Linked DNA regions of Xenopus tropicalis. The protein of the gene in region 1 purifies or fractionates together with the protein of each later gene. This does not show direct contact. Links are inferred from orthologs where the notes say so. Each region holds a gene or a part of one and is shown in the gene's direction. Other genes may lie near its edges. The genes, in order: hscb, sdhb, suclg2, sdhaf1 and iscu.

The links.
Region 2: the proteins of hscb (region 1) and sdhb purify together in Homo sapiens (co-immunoprecipitation; 3 studies listed by BioGRID and IntAct, with this or other methods). This does not show direct contact. The link is inferred for Xenopus tropicalis from reciprocal best matches to the Homo sapiens genes HSCB and SDHB.
Region 3: the proteins of hscb (region 1) and suclg2 purify together in Homo sapiens (affinity purification with mass spectrometry; 3 studies listed by BioGRID and IntAct, with this or other methods). This does not show direct contact. The link is inferred for Xenopus tropicalis from reciprocal best matches to the Homo sapiens genes HSCB and SUCLG2.
Region 4: the proteins of hscb (region 1) and sdhaf1 purify together in Homo sapiens (co-immunoprecipitation; 3 studies listed by BioGRID and IntAct, with this or other methods). This does not show direct contact. The link is inferred for Xenopus tropicalis from reciprocal best matches to the Homo sapiens genes HSCB and SDHAF1.
Region 5: the proteins of hscb (region 1) and iscu purify together in Homo sapiens (affinity purification with western blotting; 3 studies listed by BioGRID and IntAct, with this or other methods). This does not show direct contact. The link is inferred for Xenopus tropicalis from reciprocal best matches to the Homo sapiens genes HSCB and ISCU.

The regions. Positions count from the first base shown.
Region 1 is NC_030677.2:150,463,102-150,468,352, forward strand, and holds part of hscb (iron-sulfur cluster co-chaperone protein HscB, mitochondrial), read left to right. Parts: intron 1-2,070; coding exon 2,071-2,167; intron 2,168-3,340; coding exon 3,341-3,430; intron 3,431-4,036; coding exon 4,037-4,181; intron 4,182-5,117; coding exon 5,118-5,165; intron 5,166-5,251.
Region 2 is NC_030683.2:131,924,374-131,931,072, reverse strand, and holds the start of sdhb (succinate dehydrogenase [ubiquinone] iron-sulfur subunit, mitochondrial precursor), read left to right. Parts: upstream 1-2,526; 5' UTR 2,527-2,606; exon of another isoform or gene 2,607-2,607; coding exon 2,608-2,673; intron 2,674-6,699. UniProt on the Homo sapiens protein: Iron-sulfur protein (IP) subunit of the succinate dehydrogenase complex (mitochondrial respiratory chain complex II), responsible for transferring electrons from succinate to ubiquinone (coenzyme Q).
Region 3 is NC_030680.2:143,113,490-143,119,686, forward strand, and holds the end of suclg2 (succinate--CoA ligase [GDP-forming] subunit beta, mitochondrial), read left to right. Parts: intron 1-3,078; coding exon 3,079-3,194; 3' UTR 3,195-4,623; downstream 4,624-6,197. UniProt on the Homo sapiens protein: GTP-specific succinyl-CoA synthetase functions in the citric acid cycle (TCA), coupling the hydrolysis of succinyl-CoA to the synthesis of GTP and thus represents the only step of substrate-level phosphorylation in the TCA.
Region 4 is NC_030684.2:131,181,910-131,186,758, forward strand, and holds sdhaf1 (succinate dehydrogenase assembly factor 1, mitochondrial), read left to right. Parts: upstream 1-3,061; 5' UTR 3,062-3,149; coding exon 3,150-3,404; 3' UTR 3,405-3,501; downstream 3,502-4,849.
Region 5 is NC_030677.2:146,312,010-146,318,566, forward strand, and holds the start of iscu (iron-sulfur cluster assembly enzyme ISCU, mitochondrial), read left to right. Parts: upstream 1-2,786; 5' UTR 2,787-2,815; coding exon 2,816-2,905; intron 2,906-6,557.

The DNA.
Region 1 (5,251 bases):
TATGCCTGAGGAATGGAGGCGTGGCCAGCAAATTATGATTGACAGCTGAGACTTTTAAATACCCTTGGAACAGAAATGGATGGTTTAATAAAAAAAGAATTTGGCTTTCATGTTAAATTTGCAAAGGGCTTTTATTATACACCTTTTTTATGTCTGGGTGACAGGTCCCTTTAAATGATGAAATTTGTCCAATAATGGGATGGACAGATTTTGACTGCACATGTACCGACCATTCATTCTTTGATATGAGTGTTCATTTCAATAAATCACCATAATGTCCATAGTATGTTACAAAATTGTTTGCAGGACCAAATACAGCTTGAAAACAGTGTATACAAAAGCAAATACATCACATCCTCTTCAGGTTTGGACTTCAATTAGACAATATCACTTGAAATGGTTGTTCTTGTCGATGGACAAATCATAATTTTAAACAATTCACAATAAGCTTGGTCGTATAAACACATCTTTTAAAAATCTACATGTGTATGGCCACATTTACAGTCAAAGCAGTTAGTGGGTGGGATTTCTCGGTTTCGTTTGAAAGACCCAGTAACTCTAAAGCACGAAAAAAATCTTAAATTAGCATCAGGGATGTTTATTAAGTGGGCATTTTTCAGGGCACCATTGAACCTTTTATGTACTATAACTTGCATAAAGAATCTCTGAGAAGTGGAATAAAATTAAGTTTTGGACAACTATTTGTATGTGTGTGGGGACCCAGTGGATTCAACCAATATCTATGTGCTTTGTGTATCAGCTGATTCATCTGTTAGACAAGTTTGAATACTAAAGGTGGCCATACATGTTAAGATCCGGGTCTTCTCCCGATTTCCCCGCCTACGGCTGGGGGATATTGGGCAAATTTAGGCTAATTCGGTCATTTAACCCTGGGCCCAAACTACTGAATTATAACGACGGGTATAGGCAAAGTCGGTTCGGGGACTGCATCAACGAGTCAATGTGATCCCCAATCGGACTAAATCTTTTAACCTGCCCGATTGATATCTGGCCAAATTCAGGGCAGAAATTGGTCAGGCATGCCCGTCGTTGCTGCCCCTACACGGGCCGATAAGCTGCCGAATCGGTCTAAGGGACCGATATCGGCAGCTACAATCAGCCAGTGTATGGCCACCTTTAGTCTGTTGATGCGAGGAAGCCACAGCTCCCAAACTACTGCTACTTTCTAGGCACAGACTCTGTGTCATGAGTGGAAACCCTTTCTTCACTGGGAGGTACCAGTATGTAAGATTCCAGCACTGCTGTAGAAACTCCCTGGACTGTTGCTTTATTTTTCATCAAGGGACACCAGATATAGATGTACATGTAGATGACCTTTCATCTGATAATCCTGCTCTTGTGACAGTCGTTGATTGCCATTGATTATGTTTAAAGGAGCTGTCCACCTTAACATTAACTTTTAGTATGACATAAACATTGATATTTTGAGACAATTTGCAACTGGTTTTAAGTTACTGGTTGCTAGTGGCTTGTTTACCTTAACAACCAGGCAGTGGATTAAATGAGAAACAGAAATGGGAAGGAGAGGGCTTGAATAGAAAGTTAAGGAAAAAAAAAATAACAATAATAATAAAACTGTGAGCTAGCAGAGGATTCGTTTTTCAGCTGGCAGGGTCTGTGACCCCCATTTAAATGTTACAAAGGTGTAGAAGAGGAAAGCAAGTGCAACAAAAACTATACAAAATATATAATGAAGACAAATTGCAAAGTTGCTAGAAATAGGACACTCTAAAACATACTAAAAGTTAATGTAAAGGTGGACCACCCCTTTAACTCAATCCATGTCCGTTGTCTGAGCCCAGAGACTAAATTGAAGAAATATATGCTTGTCATTAAATTTGATAAGTTGCATTGCTACCTCCCAGGGTATAATTTCTTGAAAGAAAAAAGGTGTAAGTTGGAGTGGACATAATTACAAACCCACCTTACCAGTGTTTTACAATTGAAACTTTTTATACAGTACCACTCATCAATCATTTGTTTTCGGGACTATTTTGTAACTGTTCATTGCAGATAGTAATGTCTTGTGTTTTTGATTTGTCTTTACAGTGAAAAATCATTTAATGTTGACACTCAGGAACTGCAAAGAAAATACCGCAATCTTCAGCGTTTGCTTCATCCAGATTTCTTCAGCCAGAAGTCAGAGGTAAACAAGTTGTTTGCTGTTCAGCAAGTTCCTATTGCCAAAATAAGAACTGTGTTTCGATAATTAACAGAAATTGATAGGTTTCTTTAAATTTAAAAAAGAAGCTAAAGCTAACCTGAGGTTGGGTCCTAAGCTGTCTGGAGGAGAGTGGAGGAGAGGGGTCGCCAACCCCACCTCCACTACTTCTTTGCAAAGATTGGCAGCAGGTAACAGGAACGAGCCAGAGCAGTGCTAGAATTGCTTATGCTTATATTCCTTTATTCTTCATTTAAATAATCCATGAGTTGGCGCTGCTTGCTCTGCTCGAAACTGTGAACTGTGAAGAACAGCACTGAACCCTCTGATAAGTGCTGACTTCTTTTAGGGCTGGGCTATATACCGTTTAATACCGAATACCGGTGTTTTTTTTTAAAAACTATATTCATTTTTCAGATACCGCCATACCGGGGTGTCAGGGTACTCACGCGTGCGGCCCGGTCTCGTGCGTCCCGTTGTCCACGGGACGTTGCGCACGCGTGTCCAGGTGCACGCGCGTCAAAGCGCACGTACATGTCAAAGCGTGCACGTCCGCGACGCGCTGACGGCGCCGGTTCTGCGCATGCGTGGGGGGAATTTAAAGCTATCAAACGCCTCCTCCTGTGCTATGTTGTCTGCGGCCTTGTCTGGGAAACTAAGCCTGCCTGATTTACCTTACGACTTTCTGTTGCCGCTTGCCTTTCAATACTGCAGTAATTATTCTCTAATTTATTAGGAAATGGGGTTAACACCTAATCATGCATGGAAAAAATAATACCGTCAAATACCGTGACACCGATATAATTTTGAAAAATACCGTGATATAAATTTTTGGTCATACCGCCCAGCTCTAATTTATAATTTAAAGAAAAATAGCAATTTTTGTTTACAAGCTCTATTGTCAAAAATCCTTTTTTGGACATAAAGATATATGAAAATGTTTACAGAAAATCTACAGGCTTGTTTCCCAATGTCAATTCTGAATAAGAAAACCACAGTATTTTGTAACCTAAATAGACACTGATGATGGATGATAGTCTTCAAACATACCTCCTTTTAAGATTTTTAATTGATTTGTTTTTAATTACAGTATAATTTGAAAATCATTATAAAAAGTGGGCATGGAATTTATATACACATTTTATTCTTTTTTTTTAGAGTGAACGGAACATATCAGAAAAGCAGTCAACAGTGGTTAACAAAGCTTACAAAACCCTTCTATCACCTTTAAAGCGAGGAGTATATTTGGTAAACTTAATATATATATATATATATATATATATATATATATATATATATATATATATATATATATATATATATAAATTGTATTTTTTTTTCCAATATTTAAGCATTTACCTACCTTTACCTTTAACTACTACTTGTTGTGGGTATGTACTAACCAGTAGTCAATTAACAAAGCTTAATTAACAAATCTCATGTAAAACTTTGTAATTAAAAAAAAAAAGTCTTATATGAAAACTAAAGAAAGAAAAAAAATAATGTAAACTGCAAAAGTGTTCTGAAGGACAACTTTGATTTTAATTGGGGTCACTTACCCTTTAACAAGCCCATCTTGCATGGCTGGTTAAGGAAACTTCTATGCTTCTTGCTCCCTAATATGGAAAGAAGTATTTCAGCTACCTAATGTTGCTTTGAATGTATTCTTAGATTAATCCATGTATTTGCTTCACTTTAAAGCAGAGGGGTGACTTTGCTGTAATAAATGACAGTACCTTCTGGTATCTTCTTTAGCTGTTGACTTGCTTTATATTATAGTGGGATCTATACATTGCTGAAGATAAATTGGAGCTCCAAAAATGTGAACCTTGCATGTTTATTTATTTCCCAAAGCTAAGTCTGAATGGCATAACATTAAAGGAAGGAGCGGACGATGAAGTGGATACACAATTTCTCTTTGATATATTAGAGCTTAATGAACAACTAAATGATGCAGAAACTAAGGATGACATTGAAGAAGTTGGACATTTTGTACAAGGTAAAGGCTGGCTCCTTATTCAATATTTGCTTCTTATTCTTATAGGACTCATTTTTCTGTCTTGACCCAGAAGTTACAGAAGTTTTTTTAACATTTTTATTAGAACAGTTACTTAACACAAGAGCCTTACTCCTCTTCAGAACTTTAGAATTGGCCTGAGCCAGCTATTCCTTTTTTTCTTTTATGTGTATATTTCAAACTGTTGATCTTCAGTTAGATTACATCAGCCTGGATAAATGTTTCACTTGACCTTAACAGTGAAGGCAAAACTCAAGAGCGTGGCCCCCCATCTGTCTAGCTGGTGTGACTGCTTACCTTTGTGTAAATAGCATCAGTACTGAGCTTAACTGCCCCCCTGCAATGTTCACACCTCAGATTCGGGCTGCAATCCCCTGCATTGTTAACATCTGCTTTAAGAGTTTGTTCAAATAAAGAAATAATCAGACCCAGTTTACGCCTACCTGTTTGGCAGATTATTGCTGCTTGCCAGTAGGGGGCCTACATATATTATTTGGCTATGAATTACACTTTTTATAACTAAAATCTCCAACCAATGTATTTGCATTGCTCTTTTTGTTTGTTTAAATAAAGCCTGAAACCTACAACCAGTGCCCATTTATCTTAGGGGGGAACTCGCCAAGCATAAGTGATCTGAGGCCAGCTACAGACTAAATTTGCTCTGGCTGAAGCTCATTCCTGTGGTAAAGGGCTTTTGTTCAGCACTTGTTAAGCCTATTGAGTGTTTCCCTAAAGCTCATTTATCACAGCAGGAACTTATGCTTCACCATTTTGCTTCAAATGCTTTAATTTTCATGGAAAAGCCAGTAGACTACCTTTACAGTTGAATATATGGTAAATTTTTTACCGTATACAAGATATGCATAGTATTTGTTCTGTGAAAAATGTTGCTAATGACCAGAATTATGTTTTTCACAGAACAGTTGGTGTCATTGACAAAGGATTTGAGAAAAGCTTTCCAGCAAGGTACATTTTTTAGTTGATCTTTTAATGTTTGCAGATATCATGAATGACTGAAAATAGAATTTGCTTTCCCAGAAATGGCAAATTCA
Region 2 (6,699 bases), on another chromosome or scaffold:
CCGGACCCAGCAGGGGACCTGTATCTGGGCACAATGGCTCCAGTAGGCATGGGGGCGCCCCCTACTGATAGGGTCACACAGTGTTTCCCAGTCAGGGATCGACCAGTTTGTGCCTTAAAGGGACCTTGGCCCGAGACTCCTCCTCCCCGGTGCCGCCTCTCTATATATTTTAGCCTATAATAATCAACCAATGGGAAGAGAGACAGGGGGCTGGGCCTCATTCTCCTATACACCCCCCCCCCCCCCAGTCTGTACAACTCCCTGCAACCCCTGAGGGCAAATCACTCACGGAGGAAGCCGGGCTCAGAACCAATAAGACAATAGGCTGTGATTCATGGCAACCAATCAGATGTCTGCTTCATAGGACTAATGGGCAGGAGGTGGAGACAACTGCAGATTGGTTGCCATGGTTACTGCCCTGCTTCTGTAAGTGCCCAGTTAATCAGTGTAACCTTATTGGAGGGATATAGTGCAGGACGAGTGCCCCACTTAGCTCCGCCCCTATTCCCATGGTGCCTCAGTAACCAATGATTGTCATTTCCTTTACTAACTCGTTATTCCAGGAACAAGTTCTGTTTGTTTTCTGTAATAAAACTTCCATTGTGTTACGTTCTGTGCCTTTAATTTCCTGCTGAGTCTGCCCAGTTACCCCCTATATACCCCCAGCGGGTGGGTCCTGCCCCACAGTGTCTGGTGCCCCCAGGAACCTCCCCCTGGGTAAGTGAATCCAATCTCCCCCCAGTACTTACCCAGGTACAGAGCTCTGATTCTCTGTACTTCCTGCTCCTGGGCTGCTCTCTTTCCCATGGTCAGGCAGGAACCCCCTGGGTAAGTGAATCCAATCTCCCCCCAGTACTTACCCAGGTACAGAGCTCTGATTCTCTGTACTTCCTGCTCCTGGGCTGCTCTCTTTCCCATGGTCAGGCAGGAACCCCCCCCTGGGTAAGTGAATCCAATCTCCCCCCAGTACTTACCCAGGTACAGAGCTCTGATTCTCTGTACTTCCTGCTCCTGGGCTGCTCTCTTTCCCATGGTCAGGCAGGTACCTCCCCCTGGGTAAGTGAATCCAATCTCCCCCCAGTACTTACCCAGGTACAGAGCTCTGATTCTCTGTACTTCCTGCTCCTGGGCTGCTCTCTTTCCCATGGTCAGGCAGGAACCCCCCCTGGGTAAGTGAATCCAATCTCCCCCCAGTACTTACCCAGGTACAGAGCTCTGATTCTCTGTACTTCCTGCTCCTGGGCTGCTCTCTTTCCCATGGTCAGGCAGGAACCTCCCCCTGGGTAAGTGAATCCAATCTCCCCCCAGTACTTACCCAGGTACAGAGCTCTGATTCTCTGTACTTCCTGCTCCTGGGCTGCTCTCTTTCCCATGGTCAGGCAGGAACCTCCCCCTGGGTAAGTGAATCCAATCTCCCCCCAGTACTTACCCAGGTACAGAGCTCTGATTCTCTGTACTTCCTGCTCCTGGGCTGCTCTCTTTCCCATGGTCAGGCAGGAACCTCCCCCCTGGGTAAGTGAATCCAATCTCCCCCCAGTACTTACCCAGGTACAGAGCTCTGATTCTCTGTACTTCCTGCTCCTGGGCTGCTCTCTTTCCCATGGTCAGGCAGGAACCATGACAGTTACACATAACTATAAACCCAGTGAGAATGAGGGATGAATGGGTATTGGGGAGTTGTATCAGGAGTCAGAACCAGCAGTGCAGGGAAGGGAAAGGGACAGACACAGTGACAGTTACACATAACTATAAACCCAGTGAGAATGAGGAATGAATGGGTATTGGGGAGTTGTATCAGGAGTCAGAACCAGCAGTGCAGGGAAGGGAAAGGGACAGACACAGAGAATGAGGGATGAATGGATATTGGGGAGTTGCTCAGATTTATACTTTCATTAGGTTTTATATCTCCTTTAATTTCCTTACACTTTGCTGCCATCTGCTGGACATGGGCAGAGTTGCCCCTCACGCTGCGGCAGAGACAGGAGTCGGAGACTCAGAGGGGCAATAACCTTTAACCATTTCCTGACTGAGGCGCTGCCCTTATCCAATAGATGCCCCTGTCTGTCCTTCCCCCAATAATAGCTAATAACAGGGGGCGACCTTTTATATCTGCAGCTCAGCCAGTGAATTTGGGGGGCAGGGCCACTCTATGCATGCTGTTAGTGCCCCGCCCACAGGGACAGTTTGGCTCCTCCCACTTGTCCTTTATTGCTTTTGCTGAGGCTTTACTTACCCTTTAAAAGGTCTCTTCCCCTCACCCACCATGGCCTTATTGGTACAACAATTACCCCAGGGGCATTTATAGTAATATTGCGCACTAAATCGATGAGACGTTGCTATAGCGACTAGCGAGAGGGAATTACACAACCAGTTACTCAACATCACATGACCATGAAACACCGCCCACTTTTATTTGTGAGTAAACCATAGAGATCGCGGATCCGGGCTAGAGCGCCCCATCCCCCCATAGAGCTGAGAGAAAAGGAAAACGGACGCTCTAGCCCCGAGCTCCCTCTCTCTGAGCGGGAAAGTAACGCCTCTCTATGGTTATAGCCCCGCCGCGCTGCATTGTGGGAGGCTGGCGGAGTTACTGGTGTCAGAGGAAATATGGCGGCGGTCGTGTTCTCCTTGAGACGTAGCGGGCCGGTGTTCCGGTTACCGGGAGTCCTGCAGGTCAGAGCCGGGTCGGGAGTGGGAGCAGTGACCGTGGGGCTGTCTGTCCCGGTGTCATGTCTGTCCATTCAACTGCAGCTTATGCCTCTGCCCAGTATTGGCCCCTAGGGGCCCCAGTTCCCTCTCATGTTGCTGTCAGTGCATAGGGCCCCCCCCAGGTTCTGTGTAGCCTCTGTCAGTGCCCAGTATTGGCCCCTAGGGGCCCCAGTTCCCTCTCATGTTGCTGTCAGTGCATAGGGCCCCCCCCCCAGGTTCTGTGTAGCCTCTGTCAGTGCCCAGTATTGGCCCCCAGGGGCCCCAGTTCCCTCTCATGTTGCTGTCAGTGCATAGGGCCCCCCCCCCAGGTTCTGTGTAGCCTCTGTCAGTGCCCAGTATTGGCCCCTAGGGGCCCCAGTTCCCTCTCATGTTGCTGTCAGTGCATAGGGCCCCCCCAGGTTCTGTGTAGCCTCTGTCAGTGCCCAGTATTGGCCCCTAGGGGCCCCAGTTCCCTCTCATGTTGCTGTCAGTGCATAGGGCCCCCCCCCCAGGTTCTGTGTAGCCTCTGTCAGTGCCCAGTATTGGCCCCCAGGGGCCCCAGTTCCCTCTCATGTTGCTGTCAGTGCATAGGGCCCCCCCCAGGTTCTGTGTAGCCTCTGTCAGTGCCCAGTATTGGCCCCTAGGGGCCCCAGTTCCCTCTCATGTTGCTGTCAGTGCATAGGGCCCCCCCCCCAGGTTCTGTGTAGCCTCTGTCAGTGCCCAGTATTGGCCCCCAGGGGCCCCAGTTCCCTCTCATGTTGCTGTCAGTGCATAGGGCCCCCCCAGGTTCTGTGTAGCCTCTGTCAGTGCCCAGTATTGGCCCCTAGGGGCCCCAGTTCCCTCTCATGTTGCTGTCAGTGCATAGGGCCCCCCCCCCAGGTTCTGTGTAGCCTCTGTCAGTGCCCAGTATTGGCCCCCAGGGGCCCCAGTTCCCTCTCATGTTGCTGTCAGTGCATAGGGCCCCCCCCAGGTTCTGTGTAGCCTCTGTCAGTGCCCAGTATTGGCCCCTAGGGGCCCCAGTTCCCTCTCATGTTGCTGTCAGTGCATAGGGCCCCCCCCAGGTTCTGTGTAGCCTCTGTCAGTGCCCAGTATTGGCCCCCAGGGGCCCCAGTTCCATCTCATGTTGCTGTCAGTGCATAGGGCCCCCCCCCCAGGTTCTGTGTAGCCTCTGTCAGTGCCCAGTATTGGCCCCAGGGGCCCCAGTTCCATCTCATGTTGCTGTCAGTGCATAGGGCCCCCCCCCAGGTTCTGTGTAGCCTCTGTCAGTGCCCAGTATTGGCCCCCAGGGGCCCCAGTTCCCTCTCATGTTGCTGTCAGTGCATAGGGCCCCCCCCAGGTTCTGTGTAGCCTCTGTCAGTGCCCAGTATTGGCCCCTAGGGGCCCCAGTTCCCTCTCATGTTGCTGTCAGTGCATAGGGCCCCCCCCCCAGGTTCTGTGTGGCCTCTGTCAGTGCCCAGTATTGGCCCCTAGGGGCCCCAGTTCCCTCTCATGTTGCTGTCAGTGCATAGGGCCCCCCCCCCAGGTTCTGTGTAGCCTCTGTCAGTGCCCAGTATTGGCCCCTAGGGGCCCCAGTTCCCTCTCATGTTGCTGTCAGTGCATAGGGCCCCCCCCCCAGGTTCTGTGTAGCCTCTGTCAGTGCCCAGTATTGGCCCCCAGGGGCCCCAGTTCCCTCTCATGTTGCTGTCAGTGCATAGGGCCCCCCCCAGGTTCTGTGTAGCCTCTGTCAGTGCCCAGTATTGGCCCCTAGGGGCCCCAGTTCCCTCTCATGTTGCTGTCAGTGCATAGGGCCCCCCCCAGGTTCTGTGTAGCCTCTGTCAGTGCCCAGTATTGGCCCCTAGGGGCCCCAGTTCCATCTCATGTTGCTGTCCCATTGCCCCAGCCCCCAGTCCCTATGTACTCTGATCCTGGGGAAGGGGGTAAAACTGAATGAAACCATGGTAACCAGGGGCAGAAGGGGCTATTGGGGGGGCCCCATGTGGGAAGGTTCGTCTCTTAGAGCTCAATGGGCCAGAAAGGAAGTTCTCCCTGATACTGTAAGTAGCCGCTGGGCCCGGTATGTAACCCAGAGTACCTGTGCTGCTATTGGCTCCTTCAGTAATTAGGCACAGGGTCACATGGTCTCCGGCAGCAAAGGGAGGAGCTCAGTGACCTTGACTGTGGCCCCATCATAGGAGGCCCCCTTCCAATACCAAAAGGTGCCATGTTATTTCTGGGGCCCCCCAGAGCCAGAGCGAGTCCTCAGCCAATCAGTTCTTCTGGCCTGACAGCCCCTAACGGGATGGGGCAAAGGGTGAGTCTTTCAACCCTCCCCCCACCCTGGGGCCCACAGTGCTATTTGGTCACTTTTAGTCCCTCCGGCCAATACCTGTAGTTCAGTGAGTAAGTGCCACTGGGTATTTAGGGCGGGTAATTACCCACAGGAATAAACCATTGCGCTCAGGGGACTTTGCCCTTCCTGGGTGTTATTTTCCTTTACTCCTCGGTGCATTTACTTTCCCACTGACCTTTATTATCAGAGAAATCCCATCATGCACCATTCCCTATTAATATCACTCATTGATAATAATAATCAGTACAATAAAACATGTACTTTCCACCAATAGGAGGCAGGTGCTGCTATAAATCCCCCCGGCCTATAGAGCGCAGCATTTAGCAGACACGGCCCAGACCCAATACTGTTAGTACATCCCGGTGATCCCTAACGAGATCTAAATGACAGAATGGGATCAGAACCAAAATGCAGCCGCCGCCGTGCTGGGAACTGCTCTCTAGTGTGGTTGGTGCTCAGGGGAGGTGTGTAGGCAGCCGTGAGCCAATCAGAGCTCAGCTTTTTGCCCTGCCTGCCCTGATGACTTAGGGCTAAACATTTCATCAGATTATGTGGGTCAGATTTTATGTGATCATGTGACCAACTGCATGAGATTGTGTGGGGTCCTACAGAACCGTGAATGTGATAGGGACCTCAGATTGTAAGCTCACTGGGGCAGGGGCTGATGGGAATGGGATAGGGACCTTAGATTGTAAGCTCACTGGGGCAGGGACTGATGGGAATGTGATAGGAACCTTAGAGTGTAAGCTCACTGGGGCAGGGGCTGATGGGAATGGGATAGGGACCTTAGATTGTAAGCTCACTGGGGCAGGGACTGATGGGAATGTGATAGGAACCTTAGATTGTAAGCTCACTGGGGCAGGGGCTGATGGGAATGTGATAGGGACCTTAGATTGTAAGCTCACTGGGGCAGGGGCTGATGGGAATGGGATAGGGACCTTAGATTGTAAGCTCACTGGGGCAGGGACTGATGGGAATGGGATAGGGACCTTAGATTGTAAGCTCACTGGGGCAGGGGCTGATGGGAATGGGATAGGGACCTTAGATTGTAAGCTCACTGGGGCAGGGACTGATGGGAATGTGATAGGGACCTTAGATTGTAAGCTCACTGGGGCAGGGGCTGATGGGAATGTGATAGGGACCTTAGATTGTAAGCTCACTGGGGCAGGGACTGATGGGAATGGGATAGGGACCTTAGATTGTAAGCTCACTGGGGCAGGGACTGATGGGAATGGGATAGGGACCTTAGATTGTAAGCTCACTGGGGCAGGGACTGATGGGAATGGGATAGGGACCTTAGATTGTAAGCTCACTGGGGCAGGGGCTGATGGGAATGGGATAGGGACCTTAGAGTGTAAGCTCACTGGGGCAGGGACTGATGGGAATGATGCATGATCTGTAGGCCAGTGCTGGGGATTACATACCCATTACTGTAATAACAAAGAGCCTGAATACAGGGGGGGGCTCCTGGGGGTGCAGTTGATGATTAAGTAATAAGCATAGAGGTGGCGCACATCCATAAGAATATGGTTTTGTTTCAGTTCCTTTTCTGCTTCTGAACTTATAGACAACTGCCTATAGGGGCCTCCCCCTGCTGTACAGATAATGGCCTATAGGGGCCTCCCCCTGCTGTACAGATAATGGCCTATAGGGGCCTCCCCCTGCTGTACAGATAATGGCCT
Region 3 (6,197 bases), on another chromosome or scaffold:
ACTGGTCAGTTTACCTTTTTAAAAGGAAACATTTTATTGGTTGCTATAGGTTACTTATATTGGGCAAAATTAGTGCCTTTTTTTTTTTTTTTTATACATATTGGGGAAAGTGCCTTAACCCATGGTGTCTCTTAGTAGCCTTAAGGCTTTGTGTTCCACATAATAGAGCCATGCGAGCCAACTCCTCTGGTTTTCCCCTTACTAACTATACCTTATATCTTTTTGCCTTATGCATTTGTCAATATACAGGTTTTGGCTTTAGAGGGATGGGTTGTAGTTAAACAACAATTGGGGGCAGTTTCTATGACAAACAGTGAAAGCTGCCTGCCCCCATTTGCACTTGTGTGTTTGAAGGATGCCCAAGCTGGGGCCACCCCAAGGGACACCCACATACGGCTCTCCGCTTGTCCCTCATGAATACAGTGCGGCTGAACGTAAGCAACACTGTATTCATGGAAGAAGCACAAGTCCGGAAGACCTTGCAGTTTGTGTCCTATGTTGTCCACATAGGCAGTTATTTGACCCCTCTGGAACAATTATAATCTGGCCAAAAAGTTTTATAGCTTTGGGCTGTAAAGGCGGCCATACACGGGCAGATTTCTGCAGTCAATTCACGTCCTTCAGACTGATTCTGCCCGTGTATGTGCACCCCATATGGGCCTACCCAACCGAGATCTGGCCTAAAGTTGGGCAGATCTCAATCAGGCAGGTTTGATTTTCCCATCAGATCGGGGACCACATTGACGCAGCCCTCTGTCCAACGGCGCCTATGTTGCCATTTTGATTTGGGAGAAGATCCACTCGTTTAGGGGGAGTATGGCATTGGGCAGTGGATACTCTGCGCTGCCTACAGATGCACCTATCGGTATACTTGGGGCCAATTCTGCTTAATGCAGCAGGCACCGGCACCGCGCCGGGCAATGAACTGTAAACAGTTAAACGGATTCTGCTTTCATGCTGGGAAATACACGTCTCATTGAATCTTGGAGGGTTTAGCGACTCGCTGAGGGTTTATGTGGCTCTCTGATGCCACCCAGTGGCCAAAGCAGCATTTTCCTACAGATAATTCAGGAGAGCAAAGAATCTGTGTGACTTTCCTTAGGGCCATAGGGTTTGGCATGAAAGGCAAATATATTTATGGTTAATTCTAACTTATTTTAAAAACAACATTATCTCTAAAATTTGGTAATTGAATTTTAGACTAAAATATGTTTTTTGCCACCGAATATGATCAAACAAACGCAGCCGACGGAAGGCAATTGTAGTTGTCGTATTTCTATAAACAAACAAATCTCTTGCCCATCTGGCGCCTGATAAGAACATCCCCCGGCATGACATTTGGGGGGGTAATTTTGCACCCCCAGTCCTGCTGCTGCCGCTGTAATAATGAGAATTAAAGATATAAATACAGGGCTGACATTAATTGCTGCTTGTGAAAGACAAATCCCCAACGAGGGAAGGAAGGAAAGAGCAGTCGGAACATTTATCTTCTCCACAGACCTGTGGTTTTCACAAACATAATGGGGGGGGGGGGGGGGGGGGAGACAGGCAATGATTTAAATAGTTAATATAAAATGTTATTTATCTGGATACATGGGGGGCCAAGGAGAAAAGGATTCCGCGCCATTGATTTATATGGGCGAGACATCTCCTTGCTCTATATGAGCCCTCTCTCTGGGAGGAATGGGCAGAATCCAACGTTTGATTTGAGATGAAAGGATCAATTATTGGGGTGCCCCTTGGGATGGGGGCAGTTTCATTGTAAATGTAAAACACTCCCCCTTTGTGACATGTTCATTGAGTGGGGATTAAATTAGTGGCGCATAAACGCTATAGGGCGCGGTTATATCTGCAGGTGCAGTGAGCAAACGCAATTGCCATGTTTTTCCCAGAATTCCAGCGTTATTGCAGTCAGCTTTCGTCGTTTCTGATGTCCAACATGCGAGGGACATCTGCGCCCCATTCCTTAGGCATGAGGGTGCTGCACCTATTGACGCTGGGCGTGAAGGGGAACCCTGGAACTACCACCTGGACAGGAAGGGGCGGTAACTCCAGGATTCGCTTGCACCAATGGGTGGCGCAGCGCTTGGAACGAAAAGTAGTAGGGACTCGGAGCAGATGGGGTTTTTGCCTTCCTCTGGATCAACTAGCAGTTAGGCAGGTTATATATAGGCATTATGGTTGAACGTGATGGACGTACGTCTTTTTTTCAACCTAACTTACTACATTACTATGAGCACAGCTATATGGAAGTAACTTTAATGAAAGTGATTTTGCACACAACTGACTGTAGGGTAATTGCAGGGACCACAGCTGCATTTGTGGGCCTACATGAGCCCTTACATAGGGACTATTTCCCCGCCTCCCGTAGGCTGGCAGCAGGGGTTGGCCAAGCCAACCGGGTACCCTAGGCAACCCAGTCGGCCAACTCCGCCCCCCCCCCCCAACGACGCATGCGCGCCAAAGCACAGGAGGCGGTGCAGGGGGGGCAGGGCGATTAGATCGGTCATTGCCTCCGCCGCTGCCTACCCCTAGTTCCGGCCCTGGCTAGCAGAGTCATCCAACCCCTCCCTCACCTTGTTTCATGTGATGTCCCTCTCCTAATCCGAGAATCTGTGCACCAGACTCCATGTCTCCTCCATGACGGTGCCTCCTGCCCACCCCAACCCCGCCTCCACTTCCTCCTCTAATGCAAGGAGTACCTCCGCCCACAGCCCCTGCCTTACTCCTCATTTGCTGTCAATGCCCCCCTACTCATAAGAGAAGAAGGAGGAGACGAGGGGTAGTTTTAAAGATGCTGGCTGCGCGTGGAAGAGAGCTAAAAGGCACAAATATGGACCCCTTAGTACTCCATTAAAAGCCCTTGCTTCCAGGGTCTGGCTCTTTTCAGTACATGTTTAACCATGACCTGCAAAAGCCACACCTTTAGACCCAAAGCCACACCCACTATATACATAAATATCCTGCCCTTCTACCAAGCCCCACCCCCTTTGACTAACCAAAAACCCCATCTTTCTGGAAGCAATTCAATATTAAACTTGTTCTAACAATCACTTACCCTTTTTTTTTTTCCCCTAGGAACAAATGTCCACGAAGCCAAGCGTATCCTGGCAGAGAGCGGGCTGCCCATTACCTCCGCCAACGACCTGGACGACGCAGCCAGAAAAGCCGTGGCGAGCATAGCGAAGAATTAGCCGCCTTTGCCCGTTTCTACCAGGAACTCAAACTCCGTATCGGAATAGCGGAACATCTGATAATGAATGTACTTGATTTTAACCCACAAATGTTTATATCTCTAAATTTCTAGTATGAGTGATTATGGGTGTCGTTAATGTTGTTTAAAGTGGGGGTGGGCCACCAGGGGGCCCCCTAACACTGGGAGCTTCAGGTCCTTCATGTCGATGGTTGGACATCCCTGATTTAAACTGTAATTGGTCACTAATTTTATACGGGGAATGATACAATAACTGTCGGTTCTACGTGCAATTCCGGATGTTTTTCTAGTGTATGAGCCAAAAACGTCGTTTTATACGGTGCTGAAAGCCAATAGCCTTGTTCCGTGCACTGTGGGGTCACTAGGTGCCAAGGGGGTGTTCATTTCTAATTTTATTTACAAAAATAGTTTCATAATGTTTATTCCTGTGGGTGAAACTTATAAACCCATTAGGAAATTCTACAATATGCCACCAATGGAGTCCAGTCCAGAGAGCCGCCATCTTGTTGGGGAGCTAGAGTAGGAAGCTACAGGGTTTCTGGTGGTTGTGATGATTACATACCTCCCACCTATCCCTGGGAGGCGGGCCCTGGCCTTTTTAGATGGGAATATTGGGGGGAGTGTATATAGGATATAGTCATTACACAAGGAGCACTTTTGTATCTTTCTCATACTGTATTAAACAGGCTACTATCCTGTGTAACCTACACTGAGACGGGCCAGGTTGTCTCAAACACATCTCTATTTTTAACGATTGTCTACTTTTTCCGTATTCCGTCCATAGCCTTAACATCTTCTAACTGTGCCATCAAGACATGTAGTCATGCCTAAATAAAGGGGGTGTGCCCTAAATGTTGTCCACAGCAATCCAATCAGATGTGTTCAACTGTTATTTTCAGTCAGTGGTTCCCAAACCTTGAGCCTGAAGAAGTGGTGGCAGGGAATTAGTAAAAGATCTGGGGATAATGCCTATTGGTCCTCGTAGTTACTTTAGAGTCCATCCAGGAGCTCAGTGAGTGTGAGATTTGGGGTGAAAACCCCAAATCTCATATATTCTTGAGACTATGTAATGACCTAAGTGGAGCCCTGACCAAGGTTGGACCTTCCAAGTAGGGTTTGGACTGGAAAAGCCCAACAACCACGACTAATTACTCTATTTCATAGCTGCTGATTGGTTGCTATGGGTTAATGAGTTGGGGGCAAACTTTTCCCTGTTTTCTAATGGGTTTTGTTAATGTTCCGCAAGAAACCTCAACCTTGGGTCCATCCTGTGCTGCTGGTCTTCAGGAATATTTTTTTTAATGTCTTCTGTCAACCACTTTACATCTAAACTTTTAGGAGTGACAACTTTGCCTTTTTTAACAGACACTTGAAGCAAATAAATGAGTATTGCCTTGGCGGCCATTGTCCCTTGTGTGTGTCGTTTCTTCTCTGATCTTCTGGTTGGTGTTAGCTCGTTATAGATGATTGGATCAGCCATTCTGTCATAGGTCAAAAGATACCTAGACAAGCGGATAAATGTAAACCCAACCCCCCCCCCCCCCCCGAACCTCACGTAAATCAACTTCAAACTGAGTGTCTTGGGGGAAAAACAGACATTTTCAGTCTCACTGTAGATGATATTTGGGTTGGAACCCTTCCCAAAGCTCTGAGGCCTTCTCTAAAATACATTTCTCTAGGGTAGTATTTACATTACATTACGCCCACTCATCCCGAACACAGAGACCCTCAATGTTGGTGGGATGCTGGGAGTTGCATTTAATGAGGGCTGTTACTTTACTTTATACCCGTCAAACAGATCTTTTGTTGGTTGGGGGTCCAAGGCAAAGTGTCCATTCACTTTATGGGAAAATTATTATTATTAACATTTATTTATAAAGCGCCAACATATCCCGCAGCGCTGTACAATAAGTGGGTTACATACATTGGACATACAGAGTAACATATAAAGCAACCAATAACCGATACAGGAGGTGAAGGGAGCCCTGCCCAAAAGAGCTTACACTCTACAAGGAGTAACATATAAAGCAACCAATAACCGATACAAGAGGTGAAGGGAGCCCTGCCCAAAAGAGCTTACACTCTACAAGGGGCTGTTACTTTTCTTTATACCCGTCAAACAGATCTTTTGTTGGTTGGGAGTCCAAGGCAAAGTGTCCATTCACTTTATGGGGAAATTATAGACAATTAGTTGCGGTTACTTTACATGTAGATATTGGAGTTAAGTATTCCAGGTTTTTTTCTGCTTTCTATTGAATAAAAATATCCTCTCACGGAGCTCTTGTTTTTTCGGGTCCCTCAATCAATCACATCCCTATAATTGTGCCTCCGGCATAAGGAATCCGTCACACTTAATAGACTTATATACCGGGCATTTATATTCCTTGCCGAGAAAGGTCAGCGCGCGAGGAACATAAAAATCATGCGCCGGCCGAACTTCCTTTGTCATTTGTTAGTCTTCCTAAGAGGACATGGAAGAGAAGCAGAAATGGGTCGATGAGAAAATGAAGAGCTTGCGAGAAGGAAGCCGGGGGTCGTTTTGTGGTGTGTAATTGTGTAAGCCGCCAAACGGGGCCTTCGTGGACAAAAATAGAAGGTTAGCAGGTAGATGACAAAATGATTAATTGCCTGAAAGCGAATCCTGGGAAATGGGCTTGGGAGAATCAAGTGCATGAGTTTTACATCATGTGAATTACAGAATCAGACAGAGCCATAACCCGATCTCGTCACTGTAATTGCCTGTGGAAGTATCCGATGGCCGCACATCCTTAATACCGAGCTCCTTACACGTGGGATTCCAAAGCAATGATGGGGAACATAAAGAAGAAGCTTATGTGGCCTTATGTCCTTATAAAGGTCTCGTATCAATTTCCCTCTCGTGTCGAGGGAATAAAGGAAGGGATTCTCTTGGAAAACAGGACAGATGAGAGGGATCAGTCTTACTCCGAGGGGGGACGGCACGCCGCAAGGTGTTTTATTGCTT
Region 4 (4,849 bases), on another chromosome or scaffold:
CGCTATATTCCTGGCTTGCCTAATGAAAGATTTACAGAGATACACACACTACATTTTTTATCAGTGAACAACGCCGCCATCTCTAACAAGGGATGCCCATTCCCTTTCCCTCACTGTCTGTACTGCGGATGCGTTCCCCCTGTGCCTGCCTTCCCCCCAGCTCACACAGCAACTTGTCAGCACCAGCCCCTCCCCCCCCCCCTGTTCTGTTTTCGCTCCATGGCCAATTCAACTTGTGCTGCTCCTCCCTCCGGCAAGTCCCCAGTGATGTAACGGCACTCATGCCTTGCTTTTAACTCTCTGAGTGCCTGGGGAAAGTAATGAGCTATAGCTGTGTTACAGGCAGCGCCGGATTTCAAATCCGAGCGCCCGGAGGCCACCCCGCTCAGCCACCCCCTGCGCATGCGTGTTTGCAACTCACCCAGCGCACTGCGCATGCGCAACTTACCCCCCAACCCCCCCCAGCGCACGCATGCGCATTTATGCGGGCGCCGATATGAACACATACGGAGCAGCTGGGAGAGGTCCCCGCTGCTCTGTATGGGAGCAGAACTCCGGTGCGGCGGGGAGGCATGCCGCCCCTAAATGTTTGCCGCCCTAGGCCCAGGCCGTTGTGGCCTCGCCACAAATCCGGGCCTGGTTACAGGACAGTATGACATATTGATTAAACGAGCTGTGCTTAATGGCAGGGCATAATGTAGGGAATACACAGTAAGGTACATTCTACTGAGATGTAGGAAACAAGATGTTAGGCTAATGCCACATACGCTCGGGTGCAGGCACATGTAGCCGATATACACATGAAAACGCGCAAGAATGCAAACTCTCGCGTTTTCATGCGTATATCGGCTACATGTGCCTGCACCCGAGCGTATCCCTTTCATTCGGGTGCAGGCACAAGTAGCAGGCGTTGGGGCTGAGTTTTCGGCAAGCGTTTTTCCGCTTGCCGAAAATTTCAGCCCTACGCCTCGTGTGGCATTAGCCTTACACGTTCTGCTAGGGGGAGCGCTCCTGCTGTGTGCGCATGCGCCTCCTACAGTCTAAGTCATGAAGTCAGGGGAAGAGCGTTGCATTATGGGAATCTTCTCTACCCTGCTCAGCGTTTTTTCTACCTGTTTGGCTTCTGAACTTCTGAACAAGTGAAATATGGGGAGACTTAAGGGCACTATTGAGACAACTGAAGGTATGCCTGCAGCTTGAGATTAACTCTTTATTGGCCTTTCCTTCTCATTTAATGATCAACTGCACAACTGTTCCCACATCCCAGTAGAAAGTAACAGTACAATCACATACCCTATAGAGCAGGGAGCAGGGGGTAGAACTGCCCCACATCCCAGTAGAAAGTAACAGTACAATCACATACCCTATAGAGCAGGGAGCAGGGGGTAGAACTGCCCCACATCCCAGTAGAAAGTAATGGTACAATCACATACCCTATAGAGCAGGGAGCAGGGGGTAGAACTGCCCCACATCCCAGTAGAAAGTAACAGTACAATCACATACCCTATAGAGCAGGGGGTAGAACTGCCCCACATCCCAGTAGAAAGTAACAGTACAATCACATACCCTATAGAGCAGGGAGCAGGGGGTAGAACTGCCCCACATCCCAGTAGAAAGTAACAGTACAATCACATACCCTATAGAGCAGGGTGTAGAACTGCCCCCACATCCCAGTAGAAAGTAACAGTACAATCACATACCCTATAGAGCTGGGGGTAGAACTGCCCCACATCCCAGTAGAAAGTAACAGTACAATCACATACCCTATAGAGCAGGGAGCAGGGGGTAGAACTGCCCCACATCCCAGTAGAAAGTAACAGTACAATCACATACCCTATAGAGCAGGGAGCAGGGGGTAGAACTGCCCCAAATCCCAGTAGAAAGTAACAGTACAATCACATACCCTATAGAGCAGGAAGCAGGGGGTAGAACTGCCCCACATCCCAGTAGAAAGTAACAGTACAATCACATACCCTATAGAGCAGGGGGTAGAACTGCCCCACATCCCAGTAGAAAGTAACAGTACAATCACATACCCTATAGAGCAGGGAGCAGGGGGTAGAACTGCCCCACATCCCAGTAGAAAGTAACAGTACAATCACATACCCTATAGAGCAGGGAGCAGGGGGTAAAACTGCCCCACATCCCAGTAGAAAGTAACAGTACAATCACATACCCTATAGAGCAGGGGGTAGAACTGCCCCACATCCCAGTAGAAAGTAACAGTACAATCACATACCCTATAGAGCAGGGAGCAGGGGGTAGAACTGCCCCACATCCCAGTAGAAAGTAACGGTAACAACCACATACCCTAAAGATCAGGGTGTAGAACATACAGGTTGAGCCTGAAAGAGCACAAAGGAATACAAAACGGAGCCTCTGTCTATACTGTCCAATTGCATTCTGGGTATTGTAGATATATATTAATCCTAGCTGTAGGCTAATTGTTAGATACAAACTACATTACCCGGCATGCAGTGGAACAAGCATACTAGGGGAAAAAACTTTGGCTAGTTTCCAAAGTACAAATGTGCCAAGGCTCCAAAACTGTACCTTGGTGGGGTTGTACCAGGGCTTTAAATTAGTAGCCTAATTTGGTGGAAAAACTGCCAACCTGGCAACCCTGGTTAGGGATGCAATGGCCAGGGCAGAAGGTTGTCTCTATATAGGATGATCTTTTTCCCAATATGCCCACATATCATATTTGCCGCTATGCAGGCAATTGGATTATGGACCACATCAGTGCACTGTGTACCTGTCAATACCTTGATCCAAACGGAAAATCAGACCTGGCCAATCCTCATCCAGCCAATGTGTGGCTGGATGACACAGTGGGTAGGAGGCTGTAGTTGCAAGAGTTATACTAATTAACCCTTTGCACAGATAACGTGGAGAGGTTTATTGGCCTTTATAATGTGTCCTGTACTTACTCATTGCTGTGGTATATAAATCATGAATTCCATCTTGTTTTGTAGAGGTTCCCTGGACCAAGATGCCTGAAGAAGGAAACAAATCATCTGCTCAAGGCAACACAGCGCTTCCCTCATATATGAATCAGTCGCTTGCAAGGGAAATATTTTTACAGTAGAAAATTATACTAATGTCTTTAAACTTGAACTTTTAAGCTAACATAGATGTGAGGAGGCACAATGGTTAGACACAGCAAACTACAAAAGCAGATTCTGAGTCTTTACAGACAGTTTTTACAAGCCGGCAAAGAGAAACCTGGGTTTGTACCCAGAATCAGAGATGAATTCAGAAGAAATGCAAAAATTCCAAAGACTGATGTTATGCACATAGAGTACCTTCTGCGGCGGGGGCAACGGCAACTGCAGCAACTACAGGATGCAAATACAAAGCAACTGGGAGCCTTCATCAGATCCCCAACCAATCAGAACAATTAATATGTTTTCTTATAAAAAAGATTTGATATTGGTACAAATGTAACTACTCTTTGTATATAAATTATTTATACTATTTATAACAAGTTGTTTGCTCTTACTTGGCCTCTGTATTCCTTTGGTAGGATGTTTGCAAATGTACCAACCTCATAGTGCTTTATAAACATGACCGCCTCCATAAACTGCATATTAGTGATGGCTTTTCATGTGTATTGTAGAGGAATAGTTAAGGCTAGCAAAGCTGGGCATGTCAGAATAGAGCTGATAATGAGCAATTAAATACACTACTGCCACCTTTCTCAAAGTAAAAGGCTGGAGCACTAAGATCTGAACCTTGTGGCAACTTAGCAGTAAATTGGAGTAAAGAGACATGGGGGGAATTCACAAAAGTGGAGAGAGACCTTTTTTGTAGTAAAAGTGGTGAAAAAACTGGTGGAAAACACTTTTTTTTCAGATTCACAAACAGAAATCCGCATAAATTCCGACTCAACCGCCACTTTTCCGTTTTTGGTGAAAGAAAGACAGTTTACAGACACTTTTGTGAATTTGTCGTTTAAACAACATTTTTTCCCAACATTTTCAAAATGGAGTAAAGCTCAGTGTAAAGGTGGCCACACACGTGGTGATTTCCGATCTTTTGTGCGACCAATCGGCCATTAACCGTTCAGGGCAGATAAGGAGGTAGAAACAATAGGATTTCTACCTCCTTCTGCCAATTCAGCCCTGACGGCAGATTTTGCTCAGGCGCCTTCTATGGAGCCCGATCTAAGTCTTTTAACCGGTCCGATCGGCAAGTCGACCAATAGCAGCCTCCTGCGATATCAGTTGACTTGCCATACACGCACAGAATATCGTACGAAACAGAGCTTTACTCTGTTAGATCAATTCATGAACAAACAACAAATATTTCTGTGAGATAAAATAACATTTAATGGCTCAAAATTAAACAGCAATCTCACATATAAACAGGGTGGTTTCTGCAGCCCTTGGATATGTATATTTTAAATGGCTGATATAATATGAGCTTATTACAGGGTTAGATACTAACCCTGTACACTGTGTAAATGATATATTGGGGGTATTAAAAGGAAGTGACACTAACATGCCACACCTCCTCTGATGAAGCACCCATTGGTGCGAAACGTGTTAGGAGAGTGGGTACCATGAGACACTTGGATGCACCTTTCCATTGTTTGGTATAGTATGGTTTGTTTCATTTGAAATTGTTTGTTTAATTTTGAGCCATTAAATGTTATTTTATCTCACTGAAATATTTGTTGTTTGTTTATATATTGATTCAGGGCCTATCAGTGGGATATAATTTATAGATTCCCTTTCCTAATCTAATCTATTGTATCTATAATATATAATATATTGTTAGATCAATTCTAAGATCTTCTGTTTTGTTTCACCCAGTCTTCATTTCAGACCTAAGGTAGGGGCCCCAT
Region 5 (6,557 bases), about 4.2 Mb from region 1:
GGTGCCAAGGGCAGCAGACATGGGCGTAACTACAGAGGAAGCAGACCCAGTGGTTGCAGAGGGGCCCAGGAGTATAAAGGGCCCAGTGAAGCCCTAATTAATGAGCAATTTCAATATACCATGATAGATTTTCTGACTGATATCAGATGAAAGATTGCTAGATATAAATCACTCAGTGCACGCTCCCCTTATGATAATTTGATGGTTTTGTCATATCACACTGGAATTGATAGTTAAGAAAGGAAAAATTGTTACGTGTATGGTCTGCTTTAGGGCTGTGTCATGTTTTTCTGTTGCAATACCCTACAGTCACACATTGGTAGCTATGCCAACACACTTGCACTGCTTTACATTAAACATTTCTAGTCCCAAAAGCACAATTCAATGCCTTAAAAAAAATCAATAGTGGGGTCTGAACCTGCTCCCCATGTGGTGGGGGTTCAGCATTTTTGCGGTGGATGCCAAGCTCATATCGCTATGCCATGGGTTTGGGACATCCAAAATGTCTCTGTGTGGGTCAGGGGAACAATTGGCACATGGAACCAGTGCAGGCCCTAACTAGGATTCAAAATAGTTCCTGTCATTTAAAGCAGTGGCCCCCAACCTTTTTTGCACCAAGGACTGGTTTCCAGCAAGACAATTTTTCCAAGGACCGGGAATGGGGGGTGGCGCAACTAGTGCATAGTATATAATTTAATTATTACATATATAATGTAAATGTAATTATTTCATTTTATATTATGCACTTTATTTTATTAATATTACTACATTATAAAATCTAATACAGCTATCATAATACATAATCATATATAATATCAGTGGGAGACCTGAGCTTGTTTCCCTGCAACTAGATGCGCCCAGCCCCTTTGCTCTTCTTACTCTTACCTAAGTGGTGACATCCCCTGCCGGTTAGTATGGAGCTCTAAAGAGCAAGGAAAGGCTTCTACTATAGCCCTTAATATATTGTAGAGCCCCCTTGCCTGTAGTAGATTGCCAACTTTATTTTTTAAAATAATGCTCCCTTCTCCCAAAATGTGCCTTTTAACTTTGCTCTATTTGCACTCTGTAGCGTCAGCCATCTTGGATCTTTTGTGCACCTAAATGCGCATCCTCCAGCTCCCCCCAGCATCGTCCCTGCGGCGACCAAACTTCCCCCCCTGCTCCCCGCAGCACTCGCCTGCTCCTTCTGTGTCCGGCTAATGGTGCACGCTCATAGGGGCCAGCTCAGATGGTAGGGGAGCATGCCTGCTTGTGTCACTGAAGAGAGACATGCGCATGCGCCGCCTAGTGTCCTGGGTTATAGGGTCTGTGCAGGAGCGATGCATTATGGGAATCCTCTTTACCCAGCTCGGCGTTTTTTTTTCACGTTTGGCTTCTGATCATCTGAACGATTGCAATATGGGGAGACTTGAGGGCACTATTGAGACAACTGAAGGTAAGCCTGCAGCTTGAGATTAACTCTTTGGTAGCCTTTACTTCTCCTTTAAGTACTTTGGTCCTTGTAGCAATCAGTAGAAAGCTTCCTGGGCTTTGCATAGCTGTTGTCATGGCTGTGTGGGACCAGAGGTGACCCGATTCAGCACAGCCCATAGCCCAGCACCTGTCCCCGGCCCGGTGGTTGGGAACCCCTGATTTAAAGCACATAGAGGCCCAAGCAACCCTGCACCAGCCCAATATATAGTGACTTTCTGTAGGGCTAGAAATGGGTCTGGCAGAAGAGGCATGTGCCCAGGGTACAATGTAACCTGTCACTAGTCTGGGCTCTTGTCCTCCCACTTCCCACTCGTCATTTACCTCCCCAGTAGTCAACATGCATGCATGCATGCAAAGGGGTGAGGTGGCTGGCTGGGTTGCCTAGGATGCCCAGCCGACTTGGCCCAGCACAAACTGTCCATGGCCATAGGCCTCTGCAAAAAGAGGCAAGGAAGGCCACTTGCCCCCCCCCCCCCTAGAATTCTACACACCTGACCCAGATCGGTGTTGAAATGTAACATATTGCCCAGCTTGTCCTTGGTTTTTCTCAGCTACCTGCTCCTTGAGAAAAGAATTAAACAATAAAACTGTAGCTTCACAGAGCAATAGTTTTTTTGTCTCAGGTGTCAGTGATCCCCTTTTAAAAGCTGCAAAGAGAACAAGATGGCAAATACTGTAATTCAAAAACTATGGAAACAAATAATAAAGACTTAAGAATATATAATTGAAAAGTTTAATAGAATTGGCCTTTATATAACAAACTAAAAGTGAAATAAAAGGTGAGCCATCACTTTAAACAGCCCCCTGGTTCTACACTTATTAGTTGCGAGCAGCGTTACAGGCTTTGCTAATAAACCTAATACGTACGTAAAACACAGTTTGCTTTTTACTTAATGACTCTTCCTCCCCGCAGTTTTTGCGGACACCCATGTCTATGACAAATACGTACAAAGGTTCTTCTAGCCTGGAATAAAAAACTGACCAAAACCAACTCCGATATCGCGCTACTTTATTACACTACTGGATGTAAACTACATCAATTCCACTTCCACGTTAGCGATAATAGGCATAAAGAGTCCCTTGACTTTGCGGTTGAACTTGGTAAACCTAATAAAGTTATAGGGCAACAAAAGAAACTTATCCCTGCAGAATGAGCTAAAGCCCAAGTACATGACAGCTCCACACTTCAACGTTACACATAATAGAACGCTGAACCTTATTACGCAACCTGGCTGCAACAAACTTTATTGTTGGTTACGCCCCCTCAGGCCATGTGACCCGCACGTTGTGTGGCGTTGGCACGCCGCGTCCCTATTTGCTAGCTGCGCGAGTGGAGGACGCTATGGCTGGCGTGGGCCGGGTGTTTTGCTCCTTATGGAGAAAATGTGGGGTGCACGAGTTTCGGGTGCCTTGTGCTTCTTATCATAAGAAGGTATGCAGCGCTGTGCGTGGGGCGTACGGGGCCAATACGGAACAGGGTAGTGTGGGAGCAGGAAACGAGTGTTACATAAGGTGACACAGGTGTCACAGTGACAGCGCTCGCCTCGCAGCCCATACTATAAAGTACTTATTGCCAATGCAAGCCGACACGTTTATCTTTTAACACCGTAACCATCTTTACAGAGGACTACAACATGAGTCGTTTTAATTCTTAATAGAAGGCTGTCAGCTTCGGTTGTGGTGAAATACAGTAACAGCAGCCAGTGGGGTTGTCAGCTTCACTTCCCCGAATGGCTTGAGAGAAAAGGTGTCTCAAGAGAGAAGCCGAGTTAGCAACTGATAGGAATTGACAATGACTGACTCTAGCACTCTGAGGGTATAGGGAATATGGTAAAACTTTATGCTAAGTAAGACATGTTTGCCATAAGAGATACTGACATCAAAAATGTATTCTTTTTTTTTTTACTTCTGTCATACCATAGGCTTTGCATGCTATTGATTAATTTGCCAGAAAAGTATTCATCATGCTGTCCGTTAGAATTACAAGCTATAACTGACTGGCTAAGAAGGGACAGTCAGGTTGGTAAAACTGGTTTAGGACTTCAAGTAACAATTACTCACAAATGCAGCTCTTTCGGTAAAAAACGAGCAACATGACCTATAGGCAACTTTTCGTGGACATTTGTATTTTGAAGAGTAGTTTTTTAGTGTCAGTATCAAATGTACATATATAAATATAATTCACTGCACCACTACGGTAGCTGAAGTGTTTCAAGGTTATGAGGGGACATTTACGGGAGAATTCAGGAAAAGGAAATATTGTGGTTGTGATGCCAAATTCTCAGACTTATTTTTCTGCCCCTATAGACAGTTTTGCAAAAAATATCATTAAAAGTATGCATGGCTATCTTTCTGTCAATACCTGTTGTGAGTTTCTCATACAAGGCACTTTTGGCAAGCAAAAACACATTTGTCAAAAACAAATTATACATCTCTAAATTACTTTTTGTTTTCATTAAGAATTTGTGCCACTTTATTTCCTTTGGCTGCTTTCCTGTGTCAACAACACATACAATTTGGATTGTGGCATGATAGCTAATCTTCATCTTGGGGGTGGTCAGTTTCATTCCTTCGCTGCTAGTTGATTGGCAGACCTGACATTATATTTAACTACATCTTTCCTGGATGAGGGCAATCCTGTGATTTGGTAAAGACCAAAACACCCATATTCACTGGCACCGGTATTTAGTAAAAGTTAAAAGTATTTAAAACAATTTAGAGATATATGACTTTTAAAATGCTCTGATGGTTAATACGACAGCACATAGTATAGATAGGGATTTTGCCATTCTTTTGAATGGGAATGAAGTATGGGTCAGGATAGGTGTTTTGACCTTTGTAACTCTCCTTGAAAGAACTAAAGCACTGTGATGCCTGTGCTATAGATATTACAGATGTTTGTTGTTTACAAGATAAAATCTGATGCAAGTGTTTACAGGGGCTCAGCATTCATTGCCTTCCATTAAATTTGCAGCTTATATACTAACTGAGCAAATGGCAATTTTACACAAAAACTTTTGTACCAAAGTTAAGGTACATAAGCTACCAAATAAGGACTGTGTTTAGTTATTTGGTAGCCCCTATGTGAACTGGCAGACTACAGGAGGCTCTGTTTGGCAGTGCACATAGTTTTTATGCAAAAAAAAAAACAAAACTTGTCTGTAAGCCAGAAATTAAAAAAATAAACCCCTGCTTTGAGGCCACTGGGAGCAACATCCAAGGGATCGGTGAGCAACATGTTGTTCTCGAGCCACTGGTTGGGAGTCACTGCCCTAACCCATATAGGCCTAGATCTAACTAATTATATGCAGTGCTCCCTAAAACAGGGTTAAATCTAGCATTTCAATAAAAGTGGTTTGGTGCTTATTTTACAGAAATGTAATGTTTGTATTCACGTTGTAAACAAGGCTGGCATAAAAATGTGGGTCAATATAGTGACAGAACATTTCACTATTAACAGCAGTATCTCTGTATGCTGAATAGTACCATTTGTACTCCATAGTTTTTCACAGCAAGCAATAAAAAAAAAAAAACATTGTACAGATTTTTTTTTTTTTTTTAAACTAATTCATTTTTGTTAGTAATAATTTAAAGGAGAACAAAAGTTATAATCACTGGTAGGTGCCAAAATGTTAGGAAGGAAGAGGATCGCTCACCTGCCTGTGTAACAGGAGCACCAGCCAGGGGTTTCACGTAAGTGATTACAATCACTGGTGCCTTGTGCCTAACATTTGACTCTCCTCAGTGATTTAGCCTTTCCTTCTCCTTTAATTAGACTTTTTCAGATTTTGTGGCCAAGCTTACGTTTGTGTAGGTTTCATTGTTCTCTGGCACTGTTCCCTGGCATCTGTAATAGATTTGCAACCATGTGTGACTTTTTGTTGCCACAAGATTAGCAGCAGAAGTAAACATCTTGTGACTTGTTCAGACCACAAGTTCTTTTTAATTTGTCACTTGTCACATAATCATAGAGGGCACAGAAGATGGCCAAGTAACCTTGGCCATATTTATACAGATTGCTGTGTTTCTGTCCCAGTGTAATTACAGGCCTCAGAATTATTTGCATTACACTCAAGAGCATATTTTTTAACTGTTTAAATTAACATCACCTCTAAGGACAAAGGAAATATTGTCTTCTTAATAGACTCTATAAGGACTAATGAAAGTCTATTAAGAGAAGATAAAACTGGAAATGACTACAAAATGTTGATGCATTAGCTATGACATCATGGGTTTTATATCAATACATCTATCTGTAGCAAAGTGTAAGCCGATGCTTCAAATGTGTGTTCTAAACAGACAGTTAAGAAAATTACCATTCTGCATGCAAAAATAACTGCTTGTTAAAGATGCTTGGTTGTTTTGTCTCAGCATTTAAATGGTGACTAAACCCCTGTACATATGTTTGTACTCAATGTGCATGATATAAACCTTCTGTTGTGCCCAAAGGTACATTTGCTGTATGACAACCTAGGTTCCCTCTCACTCTGATTAAACAAAATTTAAACAAAATTAGACTAGTGATACTAGTATACTGGCATGGGATTTCGTATCTGGAAACCCAATACCCAGAAAGTCTGCACACTCCATTTTAAGCAAATTGTAAAAAGGATTTTCTTTCTCTCAGTAGTAATAAAACAATGCCATGTACTTTACGGTAACTAAGCTGCATAAATCCATATTGGTCGCACAACATTGCTAGTGGGTTTATTGTTTAAAGTTTTTTAGTAGACTTAAAAAGGTTGTTCACCTTTTCTAAAACACTTAAATATGTTCACATTAACCAATACATAAACAATCTTTGCCATATAAATAGTTAACAAAAAATAACAATTTAAAGGAAACTATGTAGGTCTCTATAAAAATATATTGCATAAACAAGTTCATAAGTAAAACCCTGCTTCATCTAAATAAACCATTTTCGTAAAAATATACTTTTTTAGTAGTATGTGCTAATTGGGTACTTCTAAATAGAAAATTGGGTTGGGGAGCAACATGTTGCGCATTAGCCACTGGTTGGGGATCACTGCTCTAAGCTGTGGATTAGGCACCTCCAGTGAAACAGATCACTATTTTTCCCCAGG